2 linked regions of the Pelodiscus sinensis genome follow. The protein of the gene in region 1 purifies or fractionates together with the protein of each later gene. This does not show direct contact. Links are inferred from orthologs where the notes say so. Each region holds a gene or a part of one and is shown in the gene's direction. Other genes may lie near its edges.

Region 1 (3,904 bases):
CTCTCCTCCTCCCACCCCTCCCCGCTCACCCCCCACTGCCCACCCCCTCTCCCTCACCCTCCCCGCTCACCCCCCCACTGCCCACCCCTCTCCCCCTCCCACCCCTCCCCACTCACCCCCCCACTGCCCACCCCTCCCCCCCTCCCACCCCTCCCCGATCACCCCCCCCACTGCCCACCCCTCTCCCTCACCCCCTCCCCGCTCACCCCCCCACTGCCCACCCCTCTCCCCTCCCACCCCTCCCCGCTCACCCCCCACTGCCCACCCCTCCCCCCCCTCACCCCCCCCACTGCCCACCCCTCTCCCCCTCCCACCCCTCCCCGCTCACCCCCCACTGCCCACCTCTCCCCCTCCCACCCCTCCCCGCTCACCCCCCCACTGCCCACCCCTCCCCCCCCTCACCCCCCCCACTGCCCACCCCTCTCCTCCTCCCACCCCTCCCCGCTCACCCCCCACTGCCCACCCCTCCCCCCCCTCACCCCCTCCACTGCCCACCCCTCTCTCCCTCCCACCCCTCCCCGCTCACCCCCCCACTGCCCACCCCACCCCTCCCCCTCGGCCGGCCCGGCGGTTACATAAGCGGTTACGTAAGGGGCTACTGCGCCCCGACTCCGCTCCAGCAGCCCCCGCCGCTCAGCCGCATTGTCCGCGCGCAGCGCCCGGAGCCCGGCACCGCGCTCGGGGGGGGGGACTCACAGCAGCGGCGGCCCCTCAGCCCCCTGCGCCGCCCAGGGGCGGGCCCCGTAGCAGCAGCGACACCTCCCCCAGCCGAGCGGCGGCAGCTGCCCCCGGCCCAGCCACGGGGGCTTGTCAGGGGCAGGGGACAAGTAAGTGCGTTATTCCTCCACCCCCCTCCCCATGGTAAATAATGGACTCGCCCATCTCCCGGCGGCCAGCTAGGGAGTGTTTACACTCCAGGGGAGAAACCATTGGGCACCGGGGGGAAAGCCAGACACTGGGATGGCAGCTGAGCCAACGGCAGCGCTCGGAAAGGCTAGCAAGCCCCCCTCACTAGGGTTCCTAATTGGGGTTTTTCGAGCGGTGCGTGGAACAACGGCTCTTGTTTGTCTTGGGGGGCTTTTGGGTTGGACTCCCCCTTCTCGTCCCCCCTCTCGCCCCTGAATGGTTCGGCCTCCCTCGCCTCGGCCGCCGCGATTGGCTGAAGCCTTAAAGGGGCAGGCAGGGCGCGCTTTTCTGTCCGCCGACTCAGCCCCACGCCCCCCGTCTCCATCCTCGCCTGTCGGGCCGGTGTCGTTCGCAGCCGGCTCCGGTTGCTGGAGGCGGCCGATGCTCCCCGCGCCCCGGGCGCAGGGATGAGGAGTGGGGCTCGCGGGCGGCAGCAGCCAGGCCCCCCCGCGGCGCAGCAGCCATGGAAACGGCCGCGGCGGACGGCGGCCGCCGAGGGACACAAAGGCCCGCGGCGGAGCGGAGGCGGCGGCCCGAGCGGGAGCGGGGCCCGGCGCTGAGGGGCCCCATGGCGGCGGGCGGCGGGCCCGGGGCGCCGCGCTACAGCCTGGTGGCGGAGATCGGGCGCGGCTCCTACGGGGTGGTCTACGAGGCCGTGTCGGGCCGCAGCGGCGCGCGCCTGGCGGTCAAGCGGATCCGCTGCGACGCGCCCGAGAACGTGGAGCTGGCGCTGGCCGAGTTCTGGGCCCTGACCAGCCTGCGCCGCCGCCACCCCAACGTGGTGCGCTTCGAGGAGTGCGTCCTGCAGCGCGACGGGCTGGGCCAGCGCATGAGCCACGGCAACAAGCAGAGCCAGCTCTACCTGCGCCTGGTGGAGACCTCGCTGAAAGGTACCGCCCCCCGGACCCCCCTAGAGCCCCCCCGCCTGGGACCCCCCCTAGAGCCCCCCAGCCCCGGGACCCCCTCCATAGCCCCCCCAGCCAACTCTACCTGCGCCTGGTGGAGACCTCGCTGAAAGGTACCGCCCCCCCGGACCCCCCCTAGAGCCCCCCCAGCCCCGGGACCCCCCCTAGAGCCCCCCCAGCCAGCTCTACCTGCGCCTGGTGGAGACCTCGCTGAAAGGTACCGCCCCCCCGAGCCCCCCTAGAGCCCCCCCAGCCCCGGGACCCCCCCTAGAGCCCCCCCCGCCAGCTCTACCTGCGCCTGGTGGAGACCTCGCTGAAAGGTACCGCCCCCCTAGAGCCCCCCCAGCCCCGGGACCCCCCCTAGAGCCCCCCCAGCCAGCTCTACCTGCGCCTGGTGGAGACCTCGCTGAAAGGTACCGCCCCCCTAGAGCCCCCCCAGCCCCGGGACCCCCCCTAGAGCCCCCCCAGCCAGCTCTACCTGCGCCTGGTGGAGACCTCGCTGAAAGGTACCGCCCCCCCGAGCCCCCCTAGAGCCCCCCCCGCCAGCTCTACCTGCGCCTGGTGGAGACCTCGCTGAAAGGTACCGCCCCCCGGGTCCCCCTAGAGCCCCCCCGCCTGGGACCCCCCCTAGAGCCCCCCCAGCCCCGGGACCCCCCCCTAGAGCCCCCCCCGCCAACTCTACCTGCGCCTGGTGGAGACCTCGCTGAAAGGTACCGCCCCCCGGGCCCCCCTAGAGCCCCCCCAGCCCCGGGACCCCCCCTAGAGGCCCCCCCGCCAGCTCTACCTGCGCCTGGTGGAGACCTCGCTGAAAGGTACCGCCCCCCTAGAGCCCCCCCCCAGCCCCGGGACCCCCCCCTAGAGCCCCCCCAGCCAGCTCTACCTGCGCCTGGTGGAGACCTCGCTGAAAGGTACCGCCCCCCTAGAGCCCCCCCAGCCCCGGGACCCCCCTAGAGCCCCCCCATAACCCCCAACTCGGGACCCCCCCTAGAGCCCCCCCAGCCAGCTCTACCTGCGCCTGGTGGAGACCTCGCTGAAAGGTACCGCCCCCCTAGAGCCCCCCCCAGCCCCGGGACCCCCCCTAGAGCCCCCCCAGCCAGCTCTACCTGCGCCTGGTGGAGACCTCGCTGAAAGGTATTGCCCCCCTGGGACCCCACAGAGCCCCCCCGGACCGCCTCCATAGCCCCCCCCGGCTCTGGGAGCCCCCCTAACCCTCCTAACCCCCCCATAATCTCCCTAGCCAGCTCTACCTGCGCCTGGTGGGGACCTCGCTGAAAGGTACCTTGCTGAAAGGTTACCCCCTCCACAGCCCCCCTGCCCTGGGACCCCCCCATAATCCCCCTATCCCCCCCCAAGGCAGCTCTACCTGCGCCTGGTGGAGACCTCCCTGAAAGGTACCGCCCCCCCCGGACCGCCCCCATAGCCCCCCACCCCGGAACCCCCCGGCCCCGAGACCCCCCCATAGTCACCCTCCCCCGACCCTGGGACCCCCCCCATAGCCCTCCTAACCCCCCCAGCCAGCTCTGCCTGTGCCTGGTGGAGACCTCCCTGAAAGGTGTTCTCCCCCCCCCCTTGCCTGGGACCCCCACACGGCCCCCCCTGCGCCCTGGGACCCCCTCCCACAGCCCCCCAACCCTCCCAGCCAGTTCTACCTGAGCCTGGTGGAGACCTCCCTGAAAGGTACCGCCTCCCCCCTGCGCCCTGGGAGCCCCCCAAAGCCCACTCAGTCTGGGACCCCCCCAGCCAGTTCTATCTGTGCTTGGTAGAGACCTCCCTGAAAGATACTGCCTCCCTCCCACGCCTGGGACCCCCCCCCCCACAGCCCCTCCCGTGCCCGGGACCCCCCCCACAGCACTCCCTGACCCCCCCCGAGACAGCTCTACCTGCTCCTGGTGGAGACCTCCCTGAAAGGTACCCCCCCACAGCCCTCCTGACCTGGGACCGCCCCACAGCCCCCCCCCCCCCCGTGCTGTAGGACCGCCCCCCCAACCCTTCCAGCCAGCTCTACCTGCGCCTGGTGGAGACCTCCCTGAAATGTACCATCTGGAGACCCCCCCAGCTCCTCTAATCCCCCCCAGCCAGCTCTACCTGCACCT
Region 2 (3,904 bases), on another chromosome or scaffold:
ATGTTCCCTGTAATCTTTTCCATCCATGTGCAGAATAAATTGTATGTGCCCTGAGGCATGTGCGAACATGCACCACTACTAGAAACAAAAAACTTAGCTCTGGATGTTCTGCTAATCAGCGGGCAGCCCTTGACTCTCTCCTGAGTGGCCGCACAAGCTCACAGATTACAGGGAACACTGATCCCTCAGTAAACATTGATTTCACCATAATAGAAAAGGATGAAAAAAATTTCCAACGATAATGAAAATGTACAGCTAGGGAAAGGAAGGAAATTGCTTCTTGAGAACTTAGTTGGAGTGTGATTTGTGGCTATTTACTTTGCAAAGTTTGACATGTGGTGTGTTGACAATGGCTGTCTAAGGCTATAAAGCAGCAATAGTCTACCTAGGCTAGTGAGCGAGCTGCATGAGTGGCCGTCTTTCATCTCAGTGGGCCACAAGATTGTGGTAACCAAGACGGTCTCCCAGGATAGGGTACTTTTGCTCACTGTGCTTGCACACCTTCAATTTGCAGCATGTGTTGACTAAACCGTAGCACCGCTGTGATGGGACGCAGAGGGAGCACAGCTCTCCAGTCAAGTGTGTCCAGTCAGCCCGCACTTCCCTTCACAGTGCCCGTTCTTTACTGCGTGGCACTTTAGTAGCCAGCTGTATGAAAAAAATAGGTGGACAGAAAGCAGTGGCATGTGACAACTCTGCTCGTGGGCCACGGTGAACCAAACGCTTTGTGGGCCACGCAGAGCCCGGTGGGCTGCTTATAGCCCCATGGGCCACAGGCTGCCCACTTAGCTCCCTGCATCTCAGCTTCCACTGTTAGTGACCGGTCTGTGGCCAGCCATGTGCAAATGCGCGTAACCCAGTCAACGTGCCCAGCGGCTCAGGCAGCAGCGCTGGGGCGGGCGGCTCCCGGGGAGCCGGTGGGCGCTGGGAGCAGCTTTGCAGCCGGCACAGGTACCAGGAGCCTGCCAGGGACCCTGAAGGTTAAGGGCTGTTACCCTGCCACATCCCCCTCTCTGCACCCCAATGTCCCACCCCGACACTGCAGGCCCCTTAGCACCTGCGAGCGGCACCCACCCTGGGGCTAAGAGCCCTCGGCCCCCACGTGCTCGGGGCGGTGCCCCGCACAAAGATGGCGCTGACGGTTGGCCCGCCCCTCGTGCGTGCCCCGCACAAAGATGACGCCCGCTCCCTGCGTGTCTGGTCCTCGGCCCGCTCCTTACGTTCTGAGCGCCCCGCACAAAGATGGCGCCCGCTCCCTGCATGTCTGGCCTCGGCCCGCTCCTTACGTGCTGAGCGCCCCGCACAAAGATGGCGCCCGCTCCCTGCGTGTCTGGCCCCGGCCCGCTCCTTACGTTCTGAGCGCCCCGCACAACGATGGCGCCCGCTCCTTAAGTTCTGAGCGCCCCGCACAAAAATGGCGGCCGCTGCGTGAGGGGCGGTGCGGGCGCGGGGAATGCGGTGACGAGCAGCGGCCGGGGCAGGGAAGGCAGCGGGAGCGGGAGCGGGGCTCGCCCAGAGCCGCCCCTTCCTCGGCGTCCGATGAGGACCCGAAAGGTGAGGAAGGGCCGAGCTGCCTTGGGGCTGCCCGGTCAGAGCTCCCCCCCCCCCCCCCAGCGCCACACGGACCCTCACAATCCCCCCCAGCTCCCCCAACCGTCTACCCCGCACGGAGCCCCTCCCCCAGCCCTGCGCGCGCGGAGACCCCGCCCCCCGCAGCGCCTCCAAACGGCCGCCCCTGCAGAGCGCCCCCTGCGCCTCCCCCCGCCCAGCTACCCCCGCGCCCCCCACAGCTACAGCCCCCGCCACCCCAAAGATCCACCCACCCGGGCGCCTCCAGCCAGCCCCCCGCGCCACCGCCTCAGCTGCCCCCCGCGCCCACACAGCTCCCCCGACCAGCCTCCCCCGAATCACACCCACAGATCTCTTGCAACCAGCATCACCCCTGCACCCCACAGCGCGCCAGCCTCCTCCCCAAGATCCCCAATACCCCCAGCCAGCTACCCCTTTGCACAACAGAGACCCCTAGTCCTCTGCAAAGCGACCCCCCCAGAGCTCTTCCAACCAGCTACCCTCCTCATGTTACAGGAAGCCCCAGTCCCTCCCCCAAATGCCCCAAACAGAGCTCCCCCAACCGGTTCCCCCCCTTTGTGCCACTCGGGACCCCAGCCCTCCCCCCAGTGCCCCTTCCTCCATAGAGCTCCCCTAACCAGTATCCCACCCCATGCCACACAGAGTTCCTCCTCTGCATCACACAGAGCCCCAGCCTCCCCCAAAGAGGGCCCTCTCCACTCCCACCCAGAGCCCGGTGTGCTCTTTGCCCCCACAGACTGCCCTAACAAGAGCCTTCCCAGAGTCCCCCAGGGTGCGATCTTTGCGCACTGGTGGGGTTCTGTGGCCTTTTTCGCTGCCTGAGACTGGCTTCCTACCCGTGTGTCCTGCAAGTCTTAACCATTTGCAAGTCCCAGTCCAGTGGTGAGGAGTTTGAACCTCCTGCTGCCCCTTACATACATGGAGAGTGGGTTCTACCCTGCAGTTCTGGAGAGCTCTGTCATGGCCGTTTGGATGCCTACCATGATATTTTCTGAGATTTCTTGTTGCTGGAAGAGATGCTTCTCCTGCTGAAGGTGTCACAAAACCCCCACTTCCTCTTCTGGATTGTAAAATTGCATTTGGTTTAGCTTGCAGATGGAGTGCCAACTTCAGCACGCCAGAAGGGTGGAAACCATGCAGCCACCCAATTTTCATCTCCTCAAGAGGTTGATCTTTGCAAATCTACAAAAACAGTGTGTCTGGTAGGAAAAACATGTGACTTTTGCTGCCTGAGTTGTTTGAAGAACATTACTTACATTCATTTTGCAATGAGCTGTTAACTTTGGAATATTATTTAGGGGATGTTTTGACTTTTAGTAAGGCCATCAAAATAATATGTTGAGCAAAATGTTTTTATTATATTATTACAGAGGCAAAGTAATATTTTTAATTGGACCAATTTCTGTTAGTGAGAGAGACTAGCTTTTGAGTCACACAGAGCTCTTCTTTCAGGTCTGTTAAAGGTTCTAGATGTTACCGCTAAATGTTAAGGGACCATTCGGCAGAAGTGATCACCTCGCTCACCTTGTCTTGGTAATATCCTGGGACTGACATGGTTACAACTAAATGTTACTTAGTGTACACATAGGCTGTGTCTAGACTGGCCACTTTTTCCGGAAAAGCACTGACGATCTCATGTAAGATTGTCAGTGCTTTTGCGGAAATACTATGCCGCTCCCGTTCGGGCAAAAGTCTTTTTCCGAAAAACTTTTGCGCAAAAGGGCCAGTGTAGACAGCAAAGATTTGTTTTCCACAAAAAAGCCCCGAGCGCAAAAATGGTGATCGGGGCTTCTTTGCGGAAAAGCGTCCAATCTAGACGTGCTTCTCTGAAAATACTTTTAACGGAAAACTTTTCTGTTAAAAGCATTTCCAGAGAATCATGCCAGTGTAGACGTAGCCATAGTTATGCCGAGAGCAAGGATAGATGGACATAAACTTGCTTAACAGACATGCCTTGTATTAGAAATTAATATTCTATATGTCGATATATTAAACATTCATCACTGTGATTGTTCATGTATCTGCTTGTTAATATGGATGTCTCAGGAATTAGAGGTACTGCCGATCAGATATAGCTACATTTAATTCCTCAAGTTACTTCAGGGTATGGCAGAGGTGTGCAGTTTTTTTTGAACATGCAAGCAGTAATACCTAACTGCAAAAAATGCAGTGGCACCTTTTTCTTTTCACTCTAAAAACCAGGTTTTTGCATATTATGTTTATACTGCAGTTGAACTGTCTACGTTTTTATCATCATAAAACCTTGGAAATGGTTCTAAGGAAAATAGCATACTATAGTGCAACACACTGGAAG

Evidence for each region.
Region 2: the proteins of STK35 (region 1) and C23H1orf174 purify together in Homo sapiens (affinity purification with mass spectrometry; 3 studies listed by BioGRID and IntAct, counting the BioPlex papers as one, with this or other methods). This does not show direct contact. The link is inferred for Pelodiscus sinensis from reciprocal best matches to the Homo sapiens genes STK35 and C1orf174.

What each region holds. Positions count from the first base shown.
Region 1 is NC_134728.1:3,047,177-3,051,080, forward strand, and holds the start of STK35 (serine/threonine-protein kinase 35), read left to right. Parts: upstream 1-929; 5' UTR 930-1,369; coding exon 1,370-1,796; intron 1,797-3,904.
Region 2 is NC_134733.1:22,081,821-22,085,724, reverse strand, and holds the start of C23H1orf174 (UPF0688 protein C1orf174 homolog), read left to right. Parts: upstream 1-1,414; 5' UTR 1,415-1,539; coding exon 1,540-1,554; intron 1,555-2,678; coding exon 2,679-2,792; intron 2,793-3,904.